Linked DNA regions of Nothobranchius furzeri. The protein of the gene in region 2 purifies or fractionates together with the protein of the main gene of each other region. This does not show direct contact. Links are inferred from orthologs where the notes say so. Each region holds a gene or a part of one and is shown on either strand. Other genes may lie near its edges. The genes, in order: insig1, erlin2 and rnf170.

Region 1 (10,358 bases), on a different chromosome or scaffold from region 2:
AATAAAAATTGGCAAGAATCTTGCAATACGATATAGATCACAATGACAGGTGAGACGATCCAGTTTATCTCGAAACTAAAAGCCAAACAACGTTTGTGATTTTTAGGACCGAGTTTAATTGGGGAACTCAGGTCAGGCACTTCCAAGACACTCCAGTATTTTGCCATAAACCAGGAGCGTGTCCAGGGGGTGGCCTGGGGTAGCACATGCCAACCTTGGAATCTGATTGGCCACCCCACTGAATTTCCTTTAAACAGACTTGTCCACCTTGTCCTTGATTCGGAAAAGGGTAGAATGCCTTCTCCGGGTCAGGGGTGAGGTCCTGCCCCAAGTGGAGGAGTATCTCGGGGTCTTGTTCACGAGTGAGGGAAAACTGGAGCGTGAGATCGATAGGCGGATTGGTGCTGCATCTGCAGTGATGCGGGCGTTGTACCGGTCTGTCGTGGTGAAGAGAGCTGAGCCAGAAGGCGAAGCTCTCGATTTACCGGTCGATCTATGTTCCTGCCCTCACCTATGGTTATGAGCTTTGGGTAGTGACCGAAAGAACGAGATCGCGGATACAAGCGACCAAAATGAGTATTCTCAGAAGAGTGGCTGGGCTCTCCCTTAGAGATAGGGTGAGAAGCTCGGTCATCCGGGGGGCTCGGAGTAGACCCGCTGCTTCTCCACATTGAGAGGAGCCAGTTGAGGTGGCTCGGGCATCTGGTCAGGATGCCTCCTGGACGCCTCCCTGGTGAGGTTTTCCAGGCACATCTAACTGGGAGGAGACCTGAAGGTAGACCCAGGACACGGCAGAGGGACTATGCCTCTCACCTGGCCAGGGAACGCCTTGGGATTCCCCCAGAGGAGCTGGCCCAAGTGGTTGGGGAGAGGGAAGTCTGGGCCTCTCGCCTTAGGCTACTGCCCCTGCGACCCGACTCCGGATAAGCGGATGAAAATGGATGGATGGAGACTTGTCCACAAAAAGCTTGGGGTAAAAAAGAAAAAGCATAACCATTGGTGCCACTTACCTGGGCCACCCCATTTTAAAAGATCTGGCCACGCCACTGCCATAAACTTGAATATATAAATACCTCAGTGGGGGCTGGAGAGCGTCGCTATATTAGGTGGATTTCTCACTCTCCAAACCCAACTGGAGTCAATACAGGTTGAGCAAATATGCCTGTCTTTTGTGCAGCCTACTGTTGCAGCAACAGGCGCATTATTGAAAAGAGATCATCTGGGATTTCTACTGACTTTTCTGGCTACCCGTTGGGATTTTACATTTGAATTTATTTTCTATCCATCCATCCATTTTTGGCCGATTATCCAGGGTCAGGTCGCAGGGGCAGTAGCCTAAGTCGAGAGGCCCAGACTTCCCTTTCCCCATGCGCTTGGGCCAGCTCCTGCGGGGGAATCTCAAGGAGTTTCCTGGCCAGCCAAGAGACATATTCCCTCCATCGTGTCCTGGGTCTTCCTTTAGGTCTTCGCCCAGTTGGACGTGCCCGGAAAACCTCACTAGGGAGGCGTCCAGGAGGCATCCCAACTAGCTGCCTGAGACAATTTATTTTATTTTATTATATTTATATTTTAACTATGATGCCATACCATATGTGTGTCTTTGTGAAAAAGGATAATAAAATGTGTGATTTAGTTGGGTAAACGTCTTCCTCGGTAAAAAAATGCCATTGGGGGCGAAAGAATAGAGATTCATCCAAGATGGCAGCCCGCTGCTACACCAGCACCAATAGGCAGCGCTAATCCACAGAGTGTCTATGTATATGATGAAGGCAGTAAAAAATCCTGCCCCCTAGCAGTTGAAGTTTGAATAGCAACACATATACAATAAATACTTGCATTTAAATACTCAATAAAATTGATACTGCCTTTGAATATTGATTCAGAATAATAAAATATTGCGATATTTCAGTGCAGCAACATTTTTATACATCACTGGGAAGCAGTTAAAAAATGGCAGAAAATGTTACCATGGCAAGTTGGCGTCCGATGTTTCCCACAGTAACGCCGCCTGAGAAGAAAATACACGGGAGCCAGGAACGCACGTACAAAAAGTCTGGAGATGTGTACCTGAAAATAGAACAAAAAAAGAAAAGCTTTTTACTTTACTTCTCCAAATGAAGACATTTCTGGTTCTGCATAATTAAGCAAAGACCTTACTGAAAAACTCCATTGTAGACCAGCAGCTGTGAGATGATGGTAGCTAAGAAGGCCGTGGTGATGCCCAGACCAAACCCACTTCTGGAGCGGTCAAATGTCCACCAGAGGCCCAAAGACAAGGCCGCCAGTGTGAGGGACAGCTGCACGTTGTTGGCAAAGTCTAGTTTCTGTGTTACTGTGGGTTAAGGGCAAAGTTAAACAAGATGATGATGATGTGCTTTTGTTCAAATATTGTTTCGACCGCCTGGTTTCAAGTTCAACCATTAGTGTCAAAAGTTATTGTGTTACTCTCATCCAAACAGGAGGTGGAATATTTTTCCACTTTTCTCCAATTTTCTGGGACAAAAAACTAGCATTAAAATAAGGATTACTTAGGGAAAACATCACAAAAGGATACAACACTAGCATGGTTGATGCCAACAAACACTGCAATGCATCTCATGACGCTTGCCCACTCCCTCTTGAACTTGTGCGGTTCCCCCAAATGGCTGTCGAGGCAGGGATAGAGCAGGCCAACAACAGCTGGAAATAGAAAAAAATGGAACAAAAAGTCAGGAATTATGCAAGATAAGCACAAATTCTCTGAACTAAACAGGACACATCCTGTCAGAGCTGGTTATATGCTGACCAAGTGTTGTTTTACTTTGTGACACATCCATTCACATAGATATCATTAAGTGTTTAAAGAAAAAAGCAAAGAAATGTTCTATTATTTATTGAATTTTTTTTGTTTGATTGTGTATTTGATGAAGTGGAATACAGATACATTTTTTGATTGTGACTTTTTATTACTTTACCACATTTAAATGAAAAAAAAGAAACTAATACAGACTTTCACAGCAAAATAAAATACTTGTAGTCAACCTTTTTTTAAAATAGCTGTAATAATTTAAAAAAATACCAAAGACCAAAAAATATGTTTAAGTCAAAGACGTTGTCCAGCCTCTAGAAATGATGTCCTTTTTATATTTAAATTTTAAAAAAGTACTTTGGGCATTTAACAAAAACTAAGGTAACTTTAAATGAGGACAAATTGTATTCTAAATCACAGCTCTTCATTAAACCTAGTGTTACAATAATTAGCTATAACTTCTACAGTGAAAATTAGACACAGTCATTTTGTTTCACTTTTTTTAACGGATTAAAAGTCAAGACTGGTGAAACATTTTAAATCTGCCAGGAAATAATGTGGTAATTTCTTTATAAATGCCTTTAAAACCTAAAAATGTAACTGGTCTGAAATATCTAGCGAGGGAAGTTCTGATTTTTTCCAATTTTTGGCATAACTGAACAGACACAATTTAACCAATGATCATGCTTGACTGGTGATTTAAAAGTACCAGGACTAACCTAATCTGTTTGTTGTGCACAAAAATGAAGTGGAAAACAGCTATTTAATTAAACTAAAGTTTAACAAGCTGGAGTAAATTAAACATGCTGAAAGACAAAAAGCTAAAAGTTTTCTGCTCAGCAGCACATGGAAGGAGGAGCAAAACGCGTTTTTTCTACCTCCTCTCATTTCCGGGTTCCTGGCCTTAAAGGGGGCGGCCCTTATCTCACCCGTTATGACACCAGCTAATGAGCGAACAGCTCACGTAGACTCTGACCAATCAGAAGCCAAGAAGCTCTACCGTCTGCAACTAGTCGTGTCTTTTGATACTAGACTGCCACTCAACCATAAAAAGTCTTCCCCGACGGAAGAAAAACAGCGTTACAACAACAACAGCGTTACAACAACAACATAGTAAAGCCGAATGACAACGTATCGCAGTAGGACACGATAGAAAACGACAAATTAGAAGATTTTCAAAATGTGTTGTTATAAAGCCGCGTTTGATTTATTAAATGACATAAATGGGTGCTTACTTTAGCGTGCAAGTGCAAATAAGAATAAAATATGATTTTCCAGACTCTTAATGCCTACAAATGAATTATAAATTAAATGTATCCTCCTCGTTAGCATTTTTAAATTAAATAAATAATGCTCCACGGTAACCCCTCCCCTCTTTGCTTGTCTTTGTCCCCAAATTAGCTGTAAACTAATACAGTTATGAAGTTCACCTCCGTTTATGGTCCACTTACCTGCTCCTGTACCGCAGCATGGCGGGATCCACCAGGCAGACGAAAACAAAGTTGTCATCACCTCCTCTGGAAAAAGGGTGACATTTCTTTGTATCTGCAGCAAGTTGAGCACCAGGGCGAGGAAGACCCCAACCGTGAAGAGGACGAGACCCCTTCGGATCAGGTTGGTGGTCCTGCCGTGGTGGAGGGAGCCGTAGGCAGTGCTGAGCACCTTGGTGGTGATGGACATCATTTCTTCAGCTTTAGATGCGAACCAGCTGGCGCCAAATGAATCTTTAGTTTTAGCTTTTGGTGAACAAGGGCAGCTCCAGTAGTGGTCCTCCAGTCTGGGCATTTGGCACTTCTGAGCTGTTTGAAAGCAGATTCATTCAATTATCTCACATAAAAAAGACACGTTGAGGCAAGGATGACGCGATTCTTGGTCCTTACCTTGTTGATCTCCAGATGAATTAAGTGTCTGGTCCAAAACGAAACCTGCACTCCAGCTCATTCGAGTTAAGCCACGATCCCCGTTTTGCTTTCCTGCTGTTTCCGACAAGGACAGCCGTCACGTCGTTTGTTCACATCATATTTAGTAAACACACAGCGTTGCTTCATTCTACAGCTAAAAGAGCTCGTACCCCAAAAAGAACCAGGACTTCCACTGCAGAAAACAATCTCAGCTGTGTCTGGTGAGAGGCGGCAGCCAATCAGAGCGCGGCAGCTGATATGACGTGACACCAACGCCCCGCCCCGTCGTCCGGTTCAGACAGACTGATCAGGAGGCTGCAGGGCTGAAACGAAAGTAGAAATACTTTAAATAGCGGGAAACATGTAACTCTGGTTTTACATAACATTTAAAATGGGGTGATTAAATATATGAGGACACATTTAAAGGGACACAGTCAAACATTAACATTGATCATGAACGTTAATTCATAATCTACAAAATCAGTTTTGCAAAGTATATGGCAAAAAGTAGATTACATCTGATCAGAACAGACTAAAACCTGATAACATTTAAACGTCTTACAAAAGTACAATGAATAGAATCAAATTTTCAGGTTTTATTCTAGTCAAATGCCAGTGCTGGAGGTTTTCCATATTACATATAGTTTTCTCAAATTATCACATGAGTTTTGCATTCACTCCAACACCCATATTGGATTGGAACCCATTGAATTTTCAGCCCAGGCTAATGTTTTACACTGTGGGGTGGCAGCTGCAAAGGCGTGATCACCTACTACTCTTCACCCTAGGGACATCTTAGGTTGTTTGATCTTAATGTCCTGTCAGTCAGACCAATAAAAGTTTTGAAAACCAACAACAGGAAAAAGAAAAACTCTACTGGTCATAGAGCTAAGAAATAAAGCTGGCTATAGTGATGGTGGTCCATCCATGCATGACGTTATGGTGTAATGTAGACCAATGGTTCCCACATTTTTTACCTTCAGATAAAAAAAATGACAGATATTAAGACTTACAATATATCTTATTGAACTATACATACTTTACTAAAAGCAAGGGCATAATGAAAATTTACAAAGACAATGTACTAGGAATATATATATATATATATATATATATATATATATATATATATATATATATATATATATATATATATATATATTAGGGACACACAAAAAATCAATAAACTTGAACATTGCTACATTTTGTATGCTGGATTGATAGTTAAAAACAATATATTGATTTTAATTGAGAATTTATGTACAAACATTTACTGTATTTCTTTTGTGTGGTAAAAAAATCTCTGACTGCTAGTCATCTGTTTTTTTACTGCCTTTATGACGGAACAGTGACATCTCGCAGTAACACCAGATGTGTCTTGGAAGCATCTCGCCTGAATTTTTCAATGAACTTCAGTCCTAAAAATTGCAAATATTGTCACCCCTGTATTGTGAAATATATTGTTTTGCCGTATTTTTGTCAATACACACTCCTAACCCCATGTTAAACTCAGATTATAAATTTTAGTTTTACCTTTATACCATTTACAATAAAATATTACAGGAATAAAAAATTTTAAAGTCATGTTAGAATTCAGGAAAACATTTTAAGACCCCAGCCTTAAAGCTTTGTGACCCAAACTCTAGAAAGTCTAACAGAGGCTTTAGAGAGTTTTTCCGTTTTTTCTTTTATGGGTAAAAAATTCGTAACAACATCTCTAAAGTGCTTGTACCGGTTATCAAAAGCAGTTTTAATAACAACGATGACTTTTCAAAATGAAAATAGTTTGTCTTTTACCAGTCAGAACAGGATTCCTCTAAGATGGAGACTGTGAGTGTCTTCTTTTCTCAATAAATCTGTAGCATCTTCCAACTCAACTAATCTCTCATCACAGGAGCTCTTATATAGACATGCGTCGAAAACGGGGTTAGTAGCACATGCGTTTGTTTTTCTGATGTTGGTAACAGGTTATTGACCTCTGGGTCAGTCTACTGGAGGTGTGTCTCTTGGGGCAAGTTGTGGCGCTCCTGCATATCAGTCAGACAACATATAACTGGATAAAAGGTCAGTATTCATTTTTCAAGGACCAATAACAACATGGGTTAGATTAGGTAACATAATCTGGAGAGCACAATAACAGATACTGCATGCATGTGTTGAATACATTTGTATCCACAAAGAAATAAACTGGAAATAAAAAGCTAATTTGCTGATGAAAATGTTATTTAACCCTCCCACTGTCTTTATGGGTGACCCCGCAAGAAAAGTTGACCATTGAGCAGGATTGATGGTTTATCCCATTAGGTCCACATAGCAGGGGTGAGGTGGTGCTCACACCTCACCCCTGCCACATGGACCCAAGGGATAAACCATCAACCCTGCTCAATGGTCAACTTTCCTCGCGGGGTCACACCCATTAGGACAGCGGGAGGGTTTAACAGATATGTCATATTTCCTGCAAAACCATGAGCACCAATGACATGGATGACTGACTTCATTCAAACTGATTCACAGGTTAAATGCATGACCTGCAGCAAATTTAGTAAACAAATTCAGATAGCTGGGGAAAAAAATCTGTTTTGGGGATTATCAAACTGAGCTGCTGAAATCCCATATTGTTGCATTTATTACTTCATTATACAAAGATGCAGAGCTGAGATTGAGTTTAGCATTATGGTTGTTAGAACTGGTTTTTGGCTATCACCCAATGTTGAAGTGTACTTGGACTAAACACAGAGCCCCACGTAGCTTCAGATCCTTGTGTCATCAGTGCATGATTGGAGAGAAAAAGTGCTCCACTAACAGGTTGCACAATGACTGCCTGTAAATAGGGGATTGGGAAACTCTGCAAAGAATTTAGCGAAATTAAAAAACTTAAAAAGGCACCCACCATGCATATTAGTGTGGATCATTTATGGTTTTATGAACTAGCTATACTGGTAGTTTAGGGTTAGCATCTTGTTTAGATGATAAAACTTTTAAAATATTTTGATAACTCTAGTGTTTTAGTTGTTAATAGTCGTAGAAGTCATTCAAACAGACAACAGTAAAGCTGCTAAATGGACTTTAGAACATGTGACTTACTTATAACTACATGATATGAGTGGCTTCAAATGCAGAAGAATTGTAGCAGGTGAAAGTAATTTACACTTTGTATTTATTGGGGTTGTTTTATCTTAAACTTAAGAATTGTTATGGATACATACATTTAAATCATATTATGTCTCCATATAGGTAGCCTAAGTCATGCCCATCTACTTCCGGACCAGTGATCCCCTGAAGAATGAAAAAATGAATGCAAGTCAATGGGGCTAAAAATATTTTCTAATCCTGTTTGTTATGTGCGATGGATTTCACATATGATGTCCCTGAATTTTAAAGGTACATTCTGATCCCAAGAAAGCACTTATTTTCAAACGGGGCAAAAGTAATTTTAGGCTTTGTGTGAAAATCTATCCAGGACTACAAATGCGCGATACCAAATTGATGTCATCAAACCAGACACAAAGAAAAGCAGTGGGAAATGGCTGTAGGTTCAGCAAACTTTTCCTCACTGTCATTTGCTTCTTGCTAGACCAGCTAGGACAGTTTCACATGACTACACAAAGTCTCATGACTCTACCTCATTCAGTTTGCTGCACAGCATCTCAAATGAGTCATCACCTGTTGCTACCGTAGATATCTACATCATAGTCTTTTAGGCTCTAAAATTATTTGTATAAAAAAAAATAAAAACTGCTTTTCTGACCCTTTTTTTGTAAAGAACCATTTTCTCGCGACAGCATGCGCGATATCTGCCGGGCAGACATTATAATATTGCAAATGAGGGGCATGTTGATTGGTGGAAGGAAGCAGGGGTGTTGACACTGTAGGTTTTGCTTCAGTATCTCTCTCCAAAATAGCATCCCTGTGATGGACAACGTCCCGGCATGCATACACAGTAGTCTAACTTAGCCTTACTGTTTGAATTTCAGGCAAGTATCTCAGTGTTGAAATGGCCTCTCTTTCTAGACAAATCCTTGATGCCATCTTCGCCTGATATTGCCCCAAATTTATAAAGCATTCTGGCTTAAAATAGTTAGCATAGACGCTGAGACTAGTGGGGAGAGTTTCGGGAACAGCACTGTTAAAAATAAAATTAATCCACTGGTCCCTGGCAGCTTGGTTCAATTTTGGTAAAACAAACACATGTGTGGAGTTTGGCAGTCAACAGCCACCATGGTAGTCAGCAGCTCACATGTGAAACTCCCTTAGACATTTTTCCTTTTCTCAATTTCAGTAATGGAATTACTGCAACTAAATTTGAGGGAAGCGTAGCTGTGCGTGGTATAGTGACATTGCTCTGTGCTGTCCACATATGGTACTGTACATCCTGCCTTAGTGACAACATCGAGGCCAGAACTCAAGATCTCGTTTTGGGCAGGGGCGCCTCCAGAAAATGTTGATGGAGTGGCCGGATGGGGCCAAAGAAATCTTTGGGGTGGCACACCAAATTGGTCCTTATGGTAACGCTGGGAGAATTTAGCTTGTGGCGATGTACTGCATTGCTCCTTTATTCATTTTAATTAAAATAACTACGTATCCAAAACAGTTAACTTAAATTTTACAAACACAAACATTTCAGAAAAATACATTTCAGTTATTTAAAATGTTATCCATAATTTAAATGAAAAATTTATATTTTTGTAGGTTAATTCACCTGTTGCTGTGTTAAAAAATAAACTATAGAGATAAAAAAAAGTTAAAATGGTGAGCATGAGAAACATATGTAATTATTTAATTCTGATTATTTCTTTACTCATTAATTGTAATATTTTAATTTTGTTTTACAATATGTCTTAAATAAACAAGATCAATTTATTGTTTGACTGAACATTAACGTTATTTGTTAACACTGGCTTTTCCTGGGGGGGGGGCATGGCCTCCCCTGACTACCCCTTGGGGGCGCCCATGGCTTTGAGGTGCACGTGAGTTGGTTGATGAAGCCAACAGTAAAAAACGATCCAAAGTTAAATATCGGCTTCCCAACCAGTGAACAATCATTAGGATGCCATTACATAATAGGAACATTGGCAACCTACACACACCTTTTCATTATTTTTTTTAAATTCGTAATATATTTGCACTGGTAAAATTAAGTCAGTAATAGACACACTTCTATGGTGTCTGTAAACGTTCGCCCACCTCTACTTTGAACACTTAAAGAAGGTTTACCAAACATCTACACAGTAAAGGAAATGAAAATGTCATAATATTGAAGGCCTATCACTTGACACAAAAGTGAAGATAGATGACACTAAAAAGAATCTTTTAAAAAACTTTGACCAAGGTTGGGATTTGTGGCTTCTCTATTGTTAGCATTTGCTTGTGGAAAAAGAGGAGGGTTTTAGGCTTTGCAACATCACTGCCCGAGACAAAAATGGGTTAGGGTTAGGGTTATTTTCACTTGCTAGTTTTTACAAGCTCAGTTACTCCCCTATGTAGAAGACCACAGGTGAAGGACATTGTCTAGCTATTCCACATCCAAGCAATGGTTTTTCTGCAAAGACACTGACAATTTGGGGAACTACTGCCACCTATAGGATTAGAATGCATATGAATGTGCTTCACAATAGATTAAAAATGCTTAAAATAAGGTGGTGTGGACCCAAGGAGGATATTCAGTTTTA
Region 2 (10,317 bases):
TCACCTCCTCCTGGGTGGTGAGAGCAGGACTGAATGAGTCACTTTTAGGAACCAACAGCAACGATAAGAGCCGAGTGGTGGTTTCGTCCAGAGCGGACCCTGATTGGCAACATTCATGCAAAAGCTGGAGAAGTGCACTCTCAGCCACTTTGGCGTGTAGAAGCTCTGACTGTTAGCCGGTAGTATGTTACTCTATACCACAGGCCGAAATGATACTGTAATACCAGTAATACCAGTAATCATACTGGTTATTTCTTATACCGTGCATTGCTAGGCTGGACCATGGCAACTTTTGCACAAATGCAAACAGAAGAGTTAGTCTGCTGCAGATGTGTGCAGATGCAAGGACCAACAACAGAGACCATAATCATGAATATTTTACAGGAGAACATCAATCCCAGTGTCTTTAGATCCCCTTAAATTATAATCCCGTGTTTTTAAGCTGAAGTAGTTTTACTATACTTATACTAAGTCTGGTTAAAAAAGGTCACATTTGTTTAAAGTACCCGATTTTAATGGCTGCTTGTGAGAAGTGGAGACAAAATAAGTCCTGTGTTTATGTAGAGTAGGACCCCCCAAGGTGCTTTACAACACACCAGTCATTCACCCATTGGTGGTGGTGAGCTGCATCGTAGCCACGGCTGCCCTGGGCATACTGACAGAGGCGAGGCTGCTGAATACTGGTACCACCGGTCCCGCCAACAGCTGGCAAGGAGGGTGGAGTGTCTTGCCCAAGGACACAACCGAAGAGACAGACTGGGTGGGACTCAAACCTGCAACCCTGAGGTTACAGGGCAGGCATTTACCTCTTCTGCCACTGTCATCAGTAAAGCATCAGGATTTATATGTTGATGCACTTAGCAGACGCTTTCATCCAAAGCAAGTCATGCAGAGGTGAGGCAGCAACGAGGGCGGAGTGTCTAGCCCAAGGACACAACGGCAGAGTGACGAGGAATAACCTGGTTTTGAGTCCTATTCTGCCTATAACCAGAGGGTTGCAAGGTTGCATCCTGTTCAGTCTGTCTCAGCTGTTGTGTCCTTGGGCAAGACACTTCCCCCTCCATGCCTGCTGATGGTGGTCGGAGGGGCCGGTGGTGTCTGTACAGCAGCCCTCTTCTGTCCGTGCACCCCAGAGCAGCTGTGGCTATGATGTAGCTCATCACCACCGTGTGAATGTGTGTGTGAATGGCCGGTGTCTTGTAAAGTGCTTTGGGGCGGTTGTAGAACTCTAGAAGGCACTATCTGAATACAGGGCATTTATTTCTTCTTTTGATTTGAACCCTAACACAGCTCGTCCGATTCCTGAACAGGAGAGTCGGAATGTAGCGAGATGAACGAGAATAGGAACTTTAAACGATCCTGCCGCACTTCCACCCACCGAACAGGCCGATGTACACCTCCTGGAGCGAGTGGACGCTGCAAAACTGGTTAAGTTCATGGTGAACTTTGTTGAATATCAAGGCTTTGTCATAGTCAGCTGTGAAGTTCCTGACTATGTCGTAGACTGAGGAAGGAGAGGAGAGCTGATGTTAGACACACAGATTATTCTGTCCATGGTTAAAGCTGCAATAGCAAATCTGCAAAACAAGCTAGCTTTTAAACCCTAACACAGCTATCAGCCCTGAAGGCCACGTCCAGCGGGTACCGCAGCCCACGACGCCAGAGGAAAGGAAAAGTGCTGAACACCAGTCACTGTTTTCTGAGCTGAACGTCTCTTGTTGTCCGTGGCTTCACCTTTTTGGGACTCTGGTAGTTTGTCCTAAAGTTGAAGCGGTAGCAGCCGGCTGTTTCTCCTTCTCTGATAATACTGAGTGGAGAGCCTCTCACACCAATGGCGCTCTGCTGCTATAGACACAAGTGCATAACGAGTATTGAGTAAATGTGCAAGTGTGGCGGTTTGGCGAGACCGACAACCGGACAGACTAATGGTTGGTTTTGGACCAAGCCATGTTATTGGTGGAGGTTTTTAGACAAACGTGAGAGAACCACTTCTTTCACTTTCTTTTTCATTGTAGTTTTATTTTTATTTTCACAATATATTTATAGATGTTTTAAGCTAGCTTGTTTAGCAGATTTGCTGTTGCAGCGGTGAGATCAGAGGTTTATTCTTTACCTGCTGAGGGAATGAGGTAGTTCACCACTTCTATACGGTCAAAGTAAATGATCACTCCTCCACTGAAGGAGACAACATTACATCTCGTCTCAAACATAGTCAGTGTTTTAAAAGGTGACAATAAACCAGTACACTCACTGTGTGAGAGTGTATCTGGACTATTTTATACAAGTTAGATCATCCTATCAGGCTAATTATAACTGCACACCCACCTCGTACCACAGGGCACATTCTTCACCTCGTCTGTCTGCAGAGTGGTCTGAAAGGCAACACAAAAACTAAATCTGATGACAAGTTCAGAATGTTCTTTTCTCAGGGTTTCATTAATGATATCATTATGAAACTAAACGAGCCAGAAAGGAGGTGCTATGGGAGTAAATCCATCAGCAGGGAGTGAAATCACGCCATTTGATAGGAGAACTCGATTCTAGACACTCTAGAGAGAACTGGAGTGTATGTGTGTGTGTGTGTATGTGTAGGGGGAGTTGTCACAAAACGCAAAGTGTGTGTACTCTCTGGCTGCTAACACACTTATGTGTTAAGAGGCACTAATGATGTGCAAAAGCTGAGAGCCCAACTATCCGTACCTGAACAGACTTGTAGGTGGTGATGAATGGAAGCATGAGATGGAAACCTGGGCCACTGGTTGTAGTCAAGAGAGCTCCACCTCTGGATCACACACATGCACACACACTTATATTTATGAAAGAGAACGAGTCAAAACAAACGAGTCTGAGGAAAAGGGCTGTGATTATTTATAAAAAGGCAGAAAAAAGTCTGATGACAGTTCCAAGGTAGTGCTTGATGTGCCCCGATAACACACCTACACCTTCAGTGGAAATGGGACAAAATACTTTTTCTGATTCATTTAACAAGAAATCCATTAGTTATTTTGTATAAAAAGCGTCATTGAATCAAGAAAACACTATAAGATTATTTCACCAATGATAAGGATAATAAAACATGCTTGAATAATGCTTAACCGCTACAGTTTTCACAGTAATTACACAGGTAGCATGCAATCACATCTTTGTGGTTTCGTTTTTATGACACACAAAAGTAAATGCATCCTGCAGGCTCACCTGTAGTACACTCCTGTGTGTCCTTCATCTATCTTGTGCACCGAGGCCAACAGAGCTGCTCCTCCGAGAGCAGCTATGATAGAGACAACGGCACCCCACTGAGCCATCCTGGCAAGCAGTCGGTGGAAGGCAGCCTGTAAAAGCGAGCAGGAGTATCACACCGACCTTTCAGCTACATGATGACACTAAATGTCCTGAGTTGTGCTGCAGCAACACAAACGAGCCGGTTAAACTACTCTCAGCCTGGGTTTAGGAATACATGTAGAGGATTAGGCCAAAGTTCAGCATCGTGTCCTCTCTGGAGATGAATACAAACCGGTGAATGGATGAAATCCCCTATTATGATTAGGAATAATGAGGTAAAAGGAGAAAACAGACATGGAGGTCGGTGGTTTAGCAGTAGAGTCAGAGGATCTCCTCAGATTAAGGATTTGCAGACACAATCTGGTGACCTTATGGCACAAGACTGGTCTCGTTTCCAGATCAGCAGGTGTTTTTAAACTCCTTGGTGTTTCTTCTTACATTTATACATGAGTGGTGAGTGTTTGGGTTTGACCGAGCCCCTGTGGTTTTCAGTCGTTTGGGTAATAAATTGGTCAAACTCAAGATAATTTAAATCAAAATGACCACTTTGTGGACTCTTGTTGAAGCCGAAATACCGGCAATAATGTAAAACCTTTAATACAATCATCAAACGTGGGACCAAGTACGTGAGCGAGGTTTAAAAGAAAGTTGATTTAAAACGTGTAAATATTTAAACTAAATACGGACTCGTGTGATAGAAGCGTAAGCCGTTAGCATGATAAATAATCATATTACTCAAGTCTCAAAGACAGGAGCCACTTTTGAGTTACACACCTGTTTATATAAGAACACACACGTATCAGCTGAGCGTCAAACCACAACATTAAAGCCACATTTTTAGAGCTTTAGCTAAAGTGCTAATTAGCAACACAGTTCCAGCACGTCTGGTTCTCTTTGGAAACGATGCAACGAGACTACAAGACTGGCAAGAACAGACACGTGTGTAAAAAACAAAACGGCTAACTCATTTACGTTGGTTCTCTGCTCTTACCTTTAATTTTTGTGTGACTTTGGCAAATCACACAGAACAGCTTCTTATTCTGTTTACATTCTCAACTGCTCAGCGTCAACAGCGTCGCCGTAGCGCCCTCTGGTGGACAGTCACAAAACAGCATTCAGCATTGGGCTGTGTAAACGGTAGCTATTTTTCAGAGGGTAATGAGAACAAAGACCAGATACAATTAATTAAACCGAAAATGAATTATTTAATAGGCAAAACTACAATAATAATAATAATAATAACAACAACAAAAATTGGTACTATCTGAACTAGGTGTGATAAATGTTTATCAAAACAAAAGAAGCTTATTCCACAAATGAGGAGTACACAATTTTAAAATGATAGTTAAAATCATTCAAACTAATTATATCTACTTACGTCAGCAATTATAAATAGTATGAGTCTTATAATTATTAATGAGATTTTAGCATGACTTCAAAAACAAACAAAAAAGAGAGGCAAAATGACAAAAGATTAAGCACTTCTGTTTGTGCAGACCCCTTTGGGCTTTATGTTGTTATTTATTTTTAGATATTTTTTTAATAATGCAGCTACAAGATGGACGGAGATGAATTCATGATTAATGCGTATTTACAACAGAAAAGCACAACAGCTGGAGAAAAACTGCAGTAAAAAAAAGTGCCTACTTTTTCGCAACAGATGTGTCTGAGCCATGCAGAGTTTGCTTGTCTCTGCTAAATATGTTAAATGTGAGTGGTGTGCTTTATTTGTTTTCATGATTGCATTTGCTGTGTTCTTTCATTTTTAAAGGAAATAATTTTGTTTTGATCTAATAAAATAATAAATGAATTAATCCCGAAGTTCCAAAATAAAGCACGTTTCGTCGAGCCGTTCTTTGAAATATGATTACAAAATTAGTCCCGATTTAGCTTTTGCCTTTAATATAAGTTGATGCAGGCTGGAGTCTGGACAGTGAGCTGCATTTGCACCCTGAAAAATGATACAGAAATGTTCTGTTTGCATAGCAGGCCTATCTGATATGTTCCTGTGTGTCTGCAGCGCAGGGTATCCTATAACAGAAGGTGGCGCCTTGGATGAGATGTTCTTGTTACATTAGACCTGTTTTGTTTGAGGATACAGCGGAAGCAAACCAGCGTGCATGGGCCTCAGCATCACAATGATCCAGAGCTGTGCCAAGCTTCCCTCTGCAGTCAACTGACTGGGTGTTTGGGTACCAGACTGGAAAGGCGTGGCAGTGGGCTGAACCAGGCGCGCTGAGCGATGGAAAAAACACACACCAGGGCCCACTGACCTGGTACCAGCTGAGTCCCCGGAGCAGCCTGACAAAAGGAGCGGCGGTGGAGTCAGCCCCCAGCACACACGTCGTTATCAACCGGAGAAGGCTTTAGGCTGTGGGTGTGCCGCTCAGCGACCGTCGTCCCTGGATGCGCTGAGGTGAGTTCACCTGCAGACAAAACCGACTGGGCGTTAACGGTGTTCCCCTAGCGCGTGCATGAACGCTGTGTGCGCCTTCAGCGGGTCCTGTCAAAGAAGCTGTGGCCCATTCTGCTCGTTGTTTATGTCACTGCAGGGCGCTCCCAGTCCTCTTCCATGGACTCCAACAGGAATCCTGAAGGGGTGATCCTGCACGCGCACCAGTCCAAACAGCGCGTGCTTACATTTGAAATCAGCTGGCAGAAACGATAGGGTATAATGCATGGATGTGATATGTTTGTGTTCGTCTGCTAACAAGGGGGGGGACTGTGATGTCGGCGCTGACGTGTCAGTGGTGGCTTTTGTTGGTTCTGACTCCAGACCGTTAGCGGTTCGGACGATGGCGGAGTCCAATGCGTTCGTTCTAGTTACTCTGAGCTGTTCGTTTGCGGAATATTCATTCTTCTTTGCAGAAGTCAGTCGTGCAGCACCGAGCAGCCACCGCTGGCCTCTGTGTGGAAGCCATTGGTGGATCCGGCTGGTGCTGATGCTGCAGAGCGCGAGTGTTATGCAGCGCGCGGGCCTCCATCAGGATGGAGGGGAAACCAGCAGAATGTAATGTGTCATGTTGACGGTGAAACTCAGGGATGTAGTGCGTTTTAACGTAGAGCAAACCAAGGTGTGTGTGTTTGTGCGTTTGTGTGTGTGTGTGCGTGCGTGCGCGCGCGCGTGATTCCTTGCATGACTCATGAGCTCCACTGGGCATTTCGTCGTGTGTTTTGTCCGGTCTTCTCCTAGCTACAACACTGTAAACATTTTATTTCCAATATGACATAAAAGTGCAAAATTCAGTCCATCAATGTAAAATGAGCTCCTGGGTCCGAGAGCCAACACGACTATCCATTAAAGCTGGAACATCATTCAAGTAAAAGGCAGATTTATGAGTCTGCAGCGTGCACTTTGTTAGAGTTCAGCATTCATCTCAGTGGTTACAGAGAGGGAGCAGCCTGGTCCTCCCAGAGCTTTGTTATTATTCATTTATATTTAGCAGTTTTGGGAATGGAGACCAATTCTCCGTAGAGTAAATGGATGGAGTAAAATCTAAATATTTATATAAGGGTTTATCTCATCCTCAGAAGGCAGTGTTATTGTAATTTATAGGAAAACACAGAACTAATGTTAAATGCACCTGGAGGATTGTAAATGAAATAGTGAAACAAAAGGTTGTTAAAGAGTATCCAGCTTATTTCAACTCAAATAATGATTAATGAAAATAAACTTAAATCAGATCACCTCAATGAGAACTTTGTTAATGTGGGTAAAACCTATTTAGTTCTCATGTTTTCCTACGATAATAATGTCAATGAATACTGACTCTACTTTGATCAAAAATACAAATGAAGAAGAAATACTATAGTTCAGAAATGAAAAATTAACAAATTAACTGATGATTATGAATTTGACACATTTTTGAAAATAAGGATCATTGATTGTATAGTTAAACTTATATTTGTATTCTGTCCCTGATCAATGGGAGATCTCCTTCAGAAATGATGCCTGTTGAACAAAGATTTCAATTCTGTCTTGTAACAATGCCATTATTCAAATCCGGTGATAAATACGTCTTTTCAAATTATAGACCAATCTCATTAATACCACACTTCTCAAAAGTTCAGAGGATATTTATAAGAAAAAGTTGAATGATTTCATAGTTTAACACCAAATATTCTGCAACCAGCTGTCTGCATTCAGGAAAAATCATATCGGCAGCTCCAACTGATTTTGTTAAACAAATAACAAATACAATAGAGGTCAAACAACACACGGTTGGGGTGTTTTTTGGATTCACAGAAAGCATTTGATACCATAGATCACACATCACTATTGAATAAGTTGTTATGGTATTAGAGGACTGGCACATGATTGGATAACTAGCTCTACAGAATTGGACTAGTGTGTTCAATTTAACACAGCAAATTCAGGTAATCTGAAGGTTACGTGTGGAGTACCACAGGGTTCAGTATAGGGATGTGTATTGATGAATGTATGGCGATACGGTATCACGATGCGGGGAGGCAATACAATGTATCGTGATATATTGCAATACATTCAGCCAGACGATATTAGCGATTTTTTAGACTGAATAAATTGTAGGAAAATTCTATAAACGGTCCAAACTGATACTTAACATGTTTAACATGAGATATCTGAACCATAACAGAGGGATTTACATTTCAATGGTGGAAACAAATCCCATTGCACACTGCTGCTGACTAGCGGTCACCAAAAAAGAAAAGAAAACACATGAATGTTTGCATGTAAATTATTCCAAATATTTGATACACGGCTTTTGAATATTGATATAATATCACAGGAAAAATATCACGATATATTGCCATATTGATATTTTCTTTCATCCTTAGTTCAGTCCATAGTCCATTATTGTTTACTTTATAAATTAATGACATTTGTTTGGTTTCAAAGCCTCTAAATTGTGTTCTTTTGCTGATGATACAACTGTGTTTTGTAGCAGAGACCATTTGGAACAGCTTCTCTAGTGACGGAGAAGGACCTACACACATTTAAACAATAGTTTGATTCAAATATATTATAATATGACCAGAAATCCAAGTAGCAATTTAACAATGAACAATGTTGCAATAGAAATTGTAACTGAAATAAAATTTATTGGAATTACTATTGCTGAGCGATTACGCTGGAAACCACACATAAACCATGTGAAATTTAAACTGTCAAAACTATTGTAATTTTGTATGAAGGCCACTACTTCCTTTCTCAAAATTCACTAACCAACAAATAATACTTGTTATTATTTCCATATATGACACATTGCATTGAGGTTTAGGGAAACACATATAAAACAAATAACAGTTCAGTAACTTTATTGGAAAAGAAAACCAGAAAGCCATCAGTTATAAACATTAATCTGCACCAACCAACCAAACGTAGGGTTAAATATTGTTGCTTTTAAGCTTAATATATTACCTTTACTTATGACCAATAAGCTGGGATATTTTATATAAATATAGAGTATCACTCTGGTCTTTGAATGTTTGATCAGACGATTCTAGGATTCTTTGCTTTTTCAGGGATCAAACACACTTCATATCAGTTCAGACAACAATTAAACAATTAAAAACATGACAAGTTAACTAAGACTACTGTGATGGATGAACCTAAGTGGATGGGATGTGATATATGGTGATTGAATGGTGTGTGTTTATCAGAGCCTTGTATCTAGAAGAACTGAGTTCTGGGTGTGAAAAGAATTTGGTTTGCATCAAACTATGAAGTTGGTTCTTATCAAAACGGCATCAGACGCAATCATGTGTGTCTACCTCACCCTTCCTTTGGAGACCCTCTCCACGGATTCGGAGGTCAGGGAGGTCAGATGACCTCTGGGCACCGAGGTTCGGTAGATTAACTGCAGTACCGACGCCCCAGTCCAGAGATGTCGCCAGGCACACAGGTTGGAACTAGTTTGCATCTAGAGCAGCTGTTTCTGAATAGCTGAAGGAACTGTTTTGCTGTGTCAGCTGTAGGTTGTAACATATGGGCTTAAATAAGGGCCAAAATGTTTGTGTAGTTAAAAGAAAAATTTGAAATTGAAAATATGTAAACTGAAAGCAAAAGTCACATTTTTAGAGTGAACTTTGAAAAAGAAAGACTTGGATTTAAAATAAAATCAAACGTTTGGAATATTTGTAAGAACTGAAACCCCAATGATATTTTTATTTAGAATTTTTCTGAGTAAACTTTACTAAAGAATTTTCAGTAATTTTTTTTTAATTATTGTTTTTTTAAAAATCCATTCAGTCTCAGATTAAATTTTTTCACATTCAGATCCTTTAAATTAATGTACAAAAAAATTCTTCAGGTTCAGATTTTTCTTTCAGCTTCAGATTTTTTTTTTTTTCACTTTCGGATCTGTATTTTTCAGTTACAGACTTTTGGCCCTGTTTTGGCCTGGTGGGCGTGGCTACACAGAGAGGGGCGGGGAATCATGAGTGACAGCAGGCTGCTGGAGGCTGAAGACGGCCCATTTTTCATGTTGCCTTCAGGAAACCTGGGAATAAACACAATTTATCAAACACCTCCTGCACTGTATTATTTGATAATGGTTAGATAACATGTCATGCATAACCGCTTAAACTCAGTTACTAAAGCTCTTTCAATCAGTAATGTGTACAAATTACACAGTGACTGATCAATTATGAGAAGTTTTCCCAACCACTACGTGAGAAGTGATCATTTCCCATGCTCTCAAAGTAGCATACATGGGTGCTGCTGTTGTGCCTCAGGGAACGATGGCGTCGTCATCCAACAACACTGCTGGTGCGAACAGTCAGGTGAGTGTTTAAGTTTGGAAAAGTTACACTGCAGTCTGTGAATGCTAAGAATTTACGAAGTGGCTATTGTTACGGTTAAAAGTAAGATTCATTTTCGGCTATTCTGTTTTTTTATTTAATTTTCATGGTGAAATCAGTAGCAGTTTTAGGCACGGTCAGACAGGGCAGTTGTCCGGGGCGGCATTTTTTCATGACACAAAAGGGACGCACAAGCGCTGAGTAAAAAAATAAAAAGAAAGAAATCTGCACCGCACCGAGGTTTATATTCAATCT
Region 3 (10,557 bases), on a different chromosome or scaffold from region 2:
GCCTAAATAAAATCCAGAAAAAAGCAGCTGTCAGATCTGTTCAGATTCTATACGGCGATAGCGCTAGCGACGACCGTACGTTTCACTCATTTACATTCAAGAAGCTAGGGATAATTTCATGATAAACTTAATATCCTCAAAAGGAACATTTAGTGGAATATTGACAATTTTAAGTAATTTTACGAGTAGGTTTCTACCGAATGCTAACGAGCCTAGCTAACTATGCCACAGATGTCCGTCTTCACAGCTAACGTAAAATAAAGACAGTTTCATGACACAATTCTGGCTTCATAAATCAATAAAAACAAATAGCTGTCGTCAACAGCTATCGCAAAGTATATACTCACCGGCATGTTGAATGAAAGATATCAATCCAACTGCTCAGCAAGACAAATATCCGTGCACCCCCAGACGCTGCTTCCGCCTTTCCCACCCTGTAGCTTTACCGGAAGTGAACACGTGTCGTGTGACATAGCGGCCACTGGGGGGTGCTGAAAACAATCTCGTCACAGAAAAGTGCACATTGTGTAATGTTTTATTTAAAAAATATAACATTAGTACATCTATTTAACAACACTTCAGGTTTTTATTTTTAATTTGTCAAATGAAAATAAATCTTGAGTTGTATAAATAATAAAAACAGAAAATAATATTTTAAACATAAAAGACTAGTCCAAAGTCAGTTTTATTTAGCTATTGTCCATTTCCTCTTTTGATATGAAGCTCTCCAGCTGAACTTCATCTAAAACCTGCATGCACATGCTGTTTTCCCAGCTGACACACGATCACAATACTCTTCAACAGACAACTTTGTTTTGAAACAGCTCATCGTAGTTTAAATTTGCTGGTTCTTCATCAACTTCCTGATGGAGAAGAAAACCATATTTTATTTAGTTTTAATAAATAATAAAGATTTGCATTATAATTAGATTTGTGTTAATATGGTTGTTTCTTCACCTTAGGCTCCTTGAATTCCAGGTCCTCTCCATACTGAATGGAAAAGTCGATGTGCTGCATGACTATGTTAATGCCTTCCTCATCTGTGCGGTCAAAAGGCAAGAATCTGACCATACTGTAGTCATCTATCTATATATAAAAATAAAATAAAAAACAGAAAAAATATGTCAGTTTACCATTAAAAAATGTTTCTAAATCTAATAAATGACATCATACCAAACCACAAATAGCTTTGGTAAGCTTCTTGAACTTTTGGCTTCTGAAAGTGTCAGAATTATCCTCCATCATAGAGTACATGTCGGGGTCCAGGTACCTTGTAAAAATACACAACTGCCTTAAAGATTTACCAATTATAAACAGTTTATGGAAAGCAAAACTGATGTTGCATGTTAACTTCTCTGGCACTACATACTTTTTTTGCTTTAACCATGCAAAACTTACTTTTCTATTTCTTTCTTTGCTTTGGGGCTGAGCAGATCCATCTTTGTCATGACGTTTACTTGAGGAATTTCTAATGACACCATGGCACTCAGGGCAGCCATGACCCCAGATATAAACTACAGTTGAAACACGTAAAAGATGAGCGCACCTTAGTTTAAAACAACTTGCGCTAAAGAAAATGACACAAACATAAAAGAACAGATATATGGTTACCTTAAATGACTCCACCATGAACTGTGAGTCGACTAAAAACACCCCACACACCCGAAACTCCCACTGCTGGAGCTGCTCCACCAGTTGTCTCATCACAGGGACGTGTGTGTAAAGTTCAATCTGACCTGTTTAAAGTAAAAACAACACAAAGCTTCAAACTTATGTAATTTAAAAAGGACTTACCTTTAGATCAATTAGACCAAACTTAACAGCCAATACTAAAGTTATGTTTGTTAAACAGATTACTCACCTGGGCAGTCAAACAGAATATAGTCATCTTCCACATGGCCCAGACTTTCCTCCAGCCAGTCAAAGTTGTTGGCAAAGTACTCCATGCAGAAGACCAGACCTCCGTTAGGGCCAAATTTCAGAGAGTCATCCTCCATCACATCATCGACCTGGATGAGCTCACGGATGTCTGACAAAGCAGGACTGCAATCAAATATAGTGTGCTTCACGGAGAAAGTAATTAATTTAAAAAATCCTCCTGATGTTACTTGTACTTGTGAGTTACCGTAAATCCTCTAATACAGGCCCGGGCCTGTATTTGACTCAAGCTCATCAAGCTCCAGGCCTTTATTGGAAGGAGGGCCAGTATTAGAGGCAGGCCTCTATTTCTATTTGAGCAAAATGAACTATGGTTCGCTGGAGTTTTTGACAATTAAAAGTGCGCCCACATTTTCAAAGTTAAACACATTTCTTTTAACAACGGTAGTTCCTGCTTCAGCCCTCTCCCCCCTCCCCCTGCTTCAGCCCTCTCCCCCCTCCCCCTGCGCAGCGGCCGCAAACTCACTGATGCGCCTGCAGCCTCTCGGAGTTCCTGCTGCTCTAAACATTAAAATAATTATTTCATTTTCTGTTCCTCACTTCTGATGACCTTCAATGGTGTCTGTTTGTTGCAACAGCAGGTACAAAAACTAACTTGTTTTTATTTGACTATTTTTCTGTCCTGTCTGTTTATTATCTTCCTGCATCTCCTCTCAATCCTAAAGAAAAACTGCTGCCTGGGTTCATATTCACCTCATGAGTTACCTTTGAACTGCAGTTCTAAAAGATCTACCGACCGCAAAAACAGCGGAGCGCTTGCTGTTTGGCGGCTGTATCAGTGATCAGTGCGTCGGAGGACAAGGTGATGCGCGCAGCGTCCCGCTCCACAGCGTGCAGCGAAACACATCAGGCGCAAATAAAAGACAGAAAAAATTAAAGGAAATGAACTGACATGAACGATCGCGTGTTAAATTAGTTTTTGAGGTGGCGACACCTGATTGTTACTGTGGCCGTGCTCAGGAGGCAGATCTACCGACCGCGAAAACAGCTGAGCGCTCCCTGCTGTGATCTGTGCGTCGGAGGACAAGTTGATGCGCCCCGCTCCACAGCAGCGATACACATCAGGCGCAAATAAAAGACAGAAAACATTAAAAATTAACCGACATGAACGATCGCGTGTCAGTACCTACGGTCTGGCACTTGAGTTTTACCCCCAAAAAGAGAATGTGATCATACGATAATTCAATAGGGAGCGTGGTTTCACAGACGCGGAAGTGAGAGCGTCGGTGAAACGCCGGCTGATCTAGGAAACCCCCGAGCGTTCGAGCGTCAACGAAGTGACACGGAAATGCCGGGCTTTCCAGAAGTAAGTAAGATAACTTACTATGAGCTGATAGTTCGTTGGATTGATCGGTAGGTTGGAAACTCTGATCGTGAATCTGAAGAAACGATGACTGAGTGGTGAGCTGGAAAGGCAACTTCCGTTTATAGCCGCGGTTTGTGACGTAGGTGCGACGTGAAGGGAATCCCCGCGAGGGGCATGCTGGGAGTCCCTACTTCGCGGATTTTCACCTATCGCGGCCAGGTCTGGAACGCATCTACCGCGATAAACGAGGGATTACTGTAGTTCATACACACCCTACTGCTGCTCTCCAGAGTGTTCTGCAGCATAATCAGCACGTTCTCTTTGAACTTGATAGTGTAATGACCTGGCTGGGGTTGTAAGCCAGGTGCATTCTGGGTATTGTGTTATATGTGTTTCCTATCGTTCTGCTAGTTCCTATGTGCTGATTTGCGTGTTGTGTGAGTGTTATGTAAGCCACAGGGAAGGTGATGTGTGTTCTGTGGAGTGGGTTGAATTAGCATGGTTAACTGACACCATGACTCTGTGTGGTAGGAGCGTGATAGAGGATCGTGTCTGTAGCGTTACAAAGCGTTGAAGAAAAGGCCTAATAAAGGTCTGCGTGAACCTCTACTGCCTCCTGCTGGTTGATTTGGGAACTATAACCCTGCCGCTGGGACGCTCGTACTTGCTTGTTACCACATGCCATCCGGCCACAATAAGAGACCGGCCATTATTTACCTCCGCTGACTCTGACACCGGCCAAAATTGGAGACCCGGCCTTTAATTGAATACCGGCCTGTATTAGAGGATTTACGGTAATCCTATCAGAAGTAATTGTTTTACTAAACTGAATTTAAATAAAAAGACCAATCCACAAAATCACAATCACAAAGTGTTTCCATATTTTTTATCCGAAACTACAAGTGATCACCATGTAACAATGAAACCTAACCTAATCTATTTGAATTTCTTCATTTTACACAATTTCTGTTTTCCTATTAAGCCTTTCTGATGTGATCTTTAAAAGTCTTTACCTGCCATCACAGGGTAGTCAAAATGCTCAGCAGCAGGATCCAGATTTACCACCTGAACAGATCGGTTTAAGGCCTCTGCATGCTGGACCAAGGTGGAGCAGTAAGTACTCTGAAATATCAGACCAAAAAAACGAAGACAGAAGTTATAGTTTGTGTAGCACTTGCCTTAGCTCAACATGTTAGCAACGCATTATAACATAAGAAAGCATTTATGACGTCCAGCGTGATCAGCGATGACTTACCTTACCGCTGCCCGCCGGGCCCATCACTAGTTGGGCATAACGAGGCATTTTATCCCACCTTTACCACACCTGTGACCTGGTTAATTTAGTTCACGTAGCTTCTCACAGTTAGCTAACTGTTGACCTGAGAGTTTTTCTTCTGCTTTTCCGTAACATCCGGTTGCCTGCCTCACTACTGCCCCCTCTTGATTAGCTGGTGAATTATCACATTGAACCGCGAACAAAAATTCAAATGTATTTATTTATCTTATAACGTGACCTAAACATCTAACAATTTCTTCAATGTGTAAAGAATAATTATGATTTAGCTCATTTGATTAGCCTTAACAGCAGATTTTTGTTGTATACATTTTAGCTAACAGTAGATGGCGGTAGAGGGTATTGACAGAAAAAAGAAGGAAGTAGAAGGTAGCTAGAGAACACGAGGAAGACACAAACTACTACATCACGATGAAGTGTTGCAGCAACAACACAGTCAGAAATACTTGACCTGGTCACTTGTCTTCATCATTTAACTTTATTATAAAAATGGCTAAATGTTTAGACAAAGTGAGTTGATTGACAAGTTAAGCTAGTAGAAGAACTTTCGCGTGAAAGCGAAAATCTTGTTGGTAGGTATCCAATATGGTTTTGTATACAGTAAAGCATCGAGTGTTTATTTTATTGGGTTGCTTTGTGTGTTATGGTTTGGCTTTAAAGTAGCTGCGCATGCTAAATCAATTTTGTTAGTTAGTCAGAAATATTAGCTTCGAGAGTTCGATTAATGATTCAAACATTTGCCATTATCTATCTGGGAGTTTTCGAAAGTGAACTTTACAGACTCGCTGTTACTGCAGCGGTGTTCACGATAACACCGCCCTTCACTATCAAACGAAACATATTTTTACGTTTTTCAGCGTTCACTCTTTGTTTTATTGCAGAAAGGGAAGTCGAAGACAGCGAGAGGTGTTTAGTAGCTTAGATCAAGTCATTATTAGCTTCAAACCCACCGCAGTGCATCACGGGTTATTTGATCATTTTTCTTCTTAGACGTTTTTAATTAAACAGCAATGTCTAGCTAATCTTCGTGACCAAGGAGCTTTCGTAAGTAAGTATGTGTTATGTAATTTTTAAAGTTAATAAATTATTTACATGAATGGAAAAGGTCACAACTTTAAAAGCAGCTGATTCAAGTTATGTTTTAAATCTAGCTTTAAAGAGCAAGTCACTCCCTACCAGATTCTTACTCAACTCCCACATCCTGTTTGAAAAAATGCAACAAATGCTGTTGCCTAGCAGACCAAGAGGGTGGAGCCACTAACAAATGCACACACAGGCTCACAACAAGTTTGTGTCATCATATGGTACCAGCTAATGTTTTAGGGTACGTATTAGCCAATAGCGATGGCAGATTTAAATTCAAATGCAGTGCAGTTTTTACCCGACAACGTCAGAACACTGACAGTTTTAGGCAGAAATTTTAAATTTTAACTAAAGTGCAAAACTATTGACTACACGTGTCTGCAGCACGATTAGACATGCATTTATGTAGTTTATCAAAATAAGTTTATCAACTTTTTCTTGCAGATAAACTATATAAATGAGTGTCTAATCATGCTGCAGACACGTGTAGTCAATAGTTTTGCACTTTAACATTAAAACAAAACATTACAGTTATTAGCTTTCTCCTCTGACGTTCAGAGTATAACGGTTGCGACGCCATGCGTTATGTCCGCGGAATGATGCATTGAGGCATCCTCGATACAATGGGCGGAGCAAGATCACATCCGGGAACTTTGAGCGAACTTGCATACTTAGGATTGGAACAGTCCTTGGGCCATCGTTGATGACGTTTCACAAGGATGTGAGTACACACAAGTATGCATATTGAGAAACAGCCTGTGTGTGTTTGTTAGCAGCTGCGCCCTCAGTGTGCTAGGGAACAGGATTTGTTGCATTTTTCAAACAGGAAGTGGGGGTGGAGTGACTCTGGTAGGGGTGACTTCACTCAGACTTGAGTCAGGTGGGTGAAGTGGGACAACTGTGATCTTCTCTGCTGCTCTCACTATTCACAGCAGAGATTTCTGACAGGATGCTGTGCATCTGCCGTACCACACAGTGGTGCAGCTGGTCATGATAGGGATAGGTGCTCTAGCTCTTCGTGATCTGATAAGAATGTTTTGTTTTTGGCCTACAGGAGACATATGAGTATTAATTTTCTTTACAGCTTGAGATAACTGCGCACTAAGCACACAGTGTCATACGTGATAAAAAAATACACTGTCACTAAATAAGGCCAAAAACGGTGATTTTTGTGTTTGACACTAATATCAAAGAGTTATATATCTGAAGAAATTGGTTCAAAACAAAATATTTGACATTAAAGTGTTACCTGTATTTTCTCCTTGTTTTCTAAAATTCCAGGCTATGAGTTTGGACAATGGAGGATAGTCAGTGTGGGGACTTGGACTACCTAATCCAGGATGAGGACACCATCATTGAGGGTGTCAGCAACCAGGTTTTGTTCGTGGTGGTCCTCAGTTTCACCTTCCTTGCAGGCCTTCTGACTTTGATCTTCAGGTAAGCTCCGAATCAGATGGTTATCAAGAAAAAAACCTTTAAAATTTGTTTAAACATTTGTTGCAACTTATTAAGAAGTAATTTTACAAGTCGTGTATTTGGGCTAATATTAGACTTATATTCATATAGAGGAAGTCTGTATAATGTTGCTTTTGGTCCCTTATAGGCAGGAGCAGCAGAATATTCACCCTGAGAATCAGGAGCATGTCCGGGCCGTCAGGCAACAGCTCCAAACTGATCAGGTAGAATCTGAAGGAAAACTACATTTTGGGGCTTTCAAGTTGATTATTAATGCTCAAAAGGTTGTAGAAGGCAGGAGAAAGTAGCTACAGCTCCTAAAAGCCACAGAAACACATCAATACATTTCACTTGTTAAAAAATTTGCAGAAGCATTGTCTTTCTTAGAAAGATTTTATTTTTAATGACTGTAATTTATTTTGCATGCTGGTGATGAACTAAAACAATCACTTTTATTATAAAGCAAATGCCAACATGTGATCTCTGTAGGATGAAAATCCTCAGACAGAAGCCAGGCTGCAGTATTACACAGACATGTCCTGTCCTGTGTGTTTACAACAAGCTGTTCTGCCTGTGGAAACCAACTGTGGACATCTTTTCTGTGGTAAGAACATTGAGGGTGCTCGCTGCAGAACTACAATGGTGGAGCTGCACCAGAGTCAGCCCTGCCCATTCACGCAAACTCAGCCTAGCCCACTGACTTCTTCTGTTTTTGTTTTTCAACTTTATCGCAAACTGACCTGACCCACATGAATTACGGCTGTTACTAGTTTACAGTCATTAATGCTATGTTCTATGCTCCAATTAAACAAGATAAATATAACTTGCTACATGACAAAGCCTGAATATATCCCGAAAAGAAAAGGTTTCTTATAACAAATATCTGCCCACAGCCGCTCTAACAAAACCCACATACAACAGCATTTAATGCAATTGAATAGGTTCTGGTAGTCCAGTGGCAAGACCGTCTGACTTAAGTTTTGCTTTCCCCTCAGCTGATGCTGGTTCGACTCTCGGTGGGGTCGTCAGCAATCTATTTAGCCAACTGAAACATTTAATTTGTTTATATTTTAGTTGTAATGTTTATTTTCAGCAAAATATTTATGTCTCTAAAATTTCTTTGAATTTGGTCATTCCTAAACAGCATTTTAGTTGAAACTCTGCTCACAAATGGACTCACACTGGCTAAATAAATAAATAAATAAACACATTAGTCATTATATGTTAAACGGTATACCAGTAAATTGTTGTAAACATAGTACTGGCAAGTATGGCTAGAAAAGGGGTTTTAAACTACTTAATAATTCCGCTACTGTGAGACGAACCTGCGCAAAACTGCATGTCAGCCTGACTCCATAACCACTTCACCAACACATCTGATAAAATATAAGTGGCGTTACATGTAATTGTGCCATCCAGTGTGTCTTTGTAGATGGGATGAATGGTTTATTGGCGGGGTCTCAGTTGAAGTCATTTCAGAAATAATTTGTCAGAAAATTCACAGAATTTCCAGATTTGAGAACCAAGACCAGACCCGCTTCGGAGGAGAGGACTAAATTGAAGCTGAGATGGGAGGAAAATGCATGAATGAGGCTAAAAATGGCTTTGGCGTGTTTCTTATGAGGAAATGACAATATAACATGGTAAAATGTTCTAAAAGTTAGATTTTTCATTATATAGAACCTTTACAAAAACTGTTCAATTAACTTCTCAACTCCGTCCTCAATCTTGCATTTTTTAGCTATAACACCCTCTTTGGTTCCAGAATGCTATCAAGTCTGACAACTGGAAGGAATTGGACTGACTCTGATGGAATGGGCGGGGCTGACTCTGGTGCAGACCCACCTTCTGGTGCAGCTCTGCCATTTTGGTTCTGCAGCGAGCACCACTTGGGAATATTGGACAGGTTCTGACCATCTGCAGTGAGCTAAATAGAAGTCATTAAAACAGGAGAAAGTTAAGAATTGACCTTTGTTTCACCAAAACAACTTTTAAAGACCAAGTTCAATGAAAAATATGTTACTTGTTTTTCATGCAGGCTGATCTCCTGCATTAGCCACCGAAAGAAAATAGACGGTGTTAATCTAGGATTTGAATAGCCCAACAGATCTGTGTCACACTGTCACTTAACATTCATGGACTCGCCCATCTTGACTCATGACGGGGAGGCAGGTGTTGTTTGAGCGTCCAGGAAACAGCAGAGAATGTCTCGGCTAGTAGAAGCTAATCGTTAGCATTAGCAACAAGGCAGAACTCCTTCAGGTTTGTGTTACCTGTTGAGATAAACCATCAATGTTGCAAAGCAAACAGAGTCAGTGGTAGAGTCCTGTTGCTCTTAGCCAATCTGAGGAGAGGTCCAAATATCAGGTAGTAAGACTCCAAATCCTGTCATCTTCAGCTCCACTCTTCTCTAGCTAACTTCTACTCCTTCAAACAGGAGCATGAGAGTTTTATGATGATCTCTGGGGGGGAAAAAAAGCCAAATTCACATTTACACTAGGGACCACTGCAAACGGGTGAACTTGGTCTTTAATGTTTGTTTTTTTTTTGTTGACTTTTGTGTGAACAACTGAAGCTTTTAAAATACAAGAATAGTTATAGACACACTGTCAGGCTCAGTTTCATCTGTGTTTGAGTACATCTGTTGACTCTGACTCAGACTAACCTTTATCATAAAAGTTACCTTTGAAGTTGTTCTAATGTGTGTTTTCATTACTTCTTCATAGGTTCCTGCATTCTAGCTTACTGGAGGTATGGCACCTGGCTGGGTGCCATCCACTGTCCAATCTGCAGACAGATGGTGAGACTTAAAATATGTATTTTAATTCTGAAGTCTCTGAGTTTTCATGTCAGTCACATTTAGTTTGCAGCTTTCTGAACTCACCTTCAAAGTCAGATGGGGCAGGCAGCAGGTGCTCGTGTGCCTAATTTATGACTAGCACATCGAGAAGAGCTTTACTTTTTACAGAAACACCCCGACAATGTGAGAACAACAGCTAGGAAATAAGTTGTTTTAAAAGCTTGTGGCACTATAGGCATAGTATGTATTGAAGATGGATTATTCTCAGTTATCTGCAGTTAACCGTAGAACTGAGGTAGACTATCAGCTCTTCTCTTTCTAACTGTAGGAATGCATCGTACTCCCTTTATGGAGACTTTTGTAAGTAAAGCTGAATCCAGGGGCCTCATTTATCAACCGTACTTACGCACAGATCCGTGCATATATCGTGCGTAGGAACTAATTTACGCATTGTGTGGTATTCATCATTTTATACCCATGCGTGGAAATGTTCCTAAATATAAGAAAACTTCACATCATGCGTAAGAACAGCATCTAGTGGTAGAAAGGGGGAACCGCAACACTGAAGTTCTCAGTCGTCCACTCATGTTCCTCATCCACAAATAATTTTACTCATTAAATAAATATTTTTGTGGAAAAACAGCTGATTCACATAATTGGTGCTGAAACACCTGATGGGAA

The links.
Region 1: the proteins of erlin2 (region 2) and insig1 purify together in Homo sapiens (affinity purification with western blotting; 4 studies listed by BioGRID and IntAct, with this or other methods). This does not show direct contact. The link is inferred for Nothobranchius furzeri from reciprocal best matches to the Homo sapiens genes ERLIN2 and INSIG1.
Region 3: the proteins of erlin2 (region 2) and rnf170 purify together in Homo sapiens (affinity purification with mass spectrometry; 4 studies listed by BioGRID and IntAct, counting the BioPlex papers as one, with this or other methods). This does not show direct contact. The link is inferred for Nothobranchius furzeri from reciprocal best matches to the Homo sapiens genes ERLIN2 and RNF170.

The regions. Positions count from the first base shown.
Region 1 is NC_091747.1:47,850,445-47,860,802, forward strand, and holds the start of insig1 (insulin-induced gene 1 protein), read right to left. Parts: upstream 6,602-10,358; 5' UTR 6,487-6,601; intron 5,013-6,486; 5' UTR 4,860-5,012; intron 4,765-4,859; exon of another isoform or gene 4,762-4,764; 5' UTR 4,730-4,761; coding exon 4,669-4,729; intron 4,588-4,668; coding exon 4,240-4,587; intron 2,680-4,239; coding exon 2,555-2,679; intron 2,325-2,554; coding exon 2,158-2,324; intron 2,068-2,157; coding exon 1,968-2,067; intron 1-1,967. UniProt on the Homo sapiens protein: Oxysterol-binding protein that mediates feedback control of cholesterol synthesis by controlling both endoplasmic reticulum to Golgi transport of SCAP and degradation of HMGCR.
Region 2 is NC_091757.1:29,251,746-29,262,062, forward strand, and holds the start of erlin2 (erlin-2), read right to left. Parts: upstream 5,694-10,317; 5' UTR 5,553-5,693; intron 4,370-5,552; 5' UTR 4,271-4,369; intron 3,330-4,270; 5' UTR 3,303-3,329; coding exon 3,196-3,302; intron 2,783-3,195; coding exon 2,701-2,782; intron 2,373-2,700; coding exon 2,326-2,372; intron 2,176-2,325; coding exon 2,114-2,175; intron 1,505-2,113; coding exon 1,379-1,504; intron 1-1,378. UniProt on the Homo sapiens protein: Component of the ERLIN1/ERLIN2 complex which mediates the endoplasmic reticulum-associated degradation (ERAD) of inositol 1,4,5-trisphosphate receptors (IP3Rs) such as ITPR1.
Region 3 is NC_091746.1:47,853,448-47,864,004, reverse strand, and holds the start of rnf170 (E3 ubiquitin-protein ligase RNF170), read left to right. Parts: upstream 1-4,913; 5' UTR 4,914-5,110; intron 5,111-6,902; 5' UTR 6,903-6,918; coding exon 6,919-7,058; intron 7,059-7,224; coding exon 7,225-7,300; intron 7,301-7,565; coding exon 7,566-7,680; intron 7,681-9,802; coding exon 9,803-9,876; intron 9,877-10,557. Other genes in the region: arpc3 (actin-related protein 2/3 complex subunit 3), read right to left, coding at 1-2, 348-353; gpn3 (GPN-loop GTPase 3), read right to left, coding at 798-863, 958-1,086, 1,174-1,270, 1,399-1,514, 1,612-1,736, 1,862-2,029, 4,258-4,366, 4,500-4,547. UniProt on the Homo sapiens protein: E3 ubiquitin-protein ligase that plays an essential role in stimulus-induced inositol 1,4,5-trisphosphate receptor type 1 (ITPR1) ubiquitination and degradation via the endoplasmic reticulum-associated degradation (ERAD) pathway.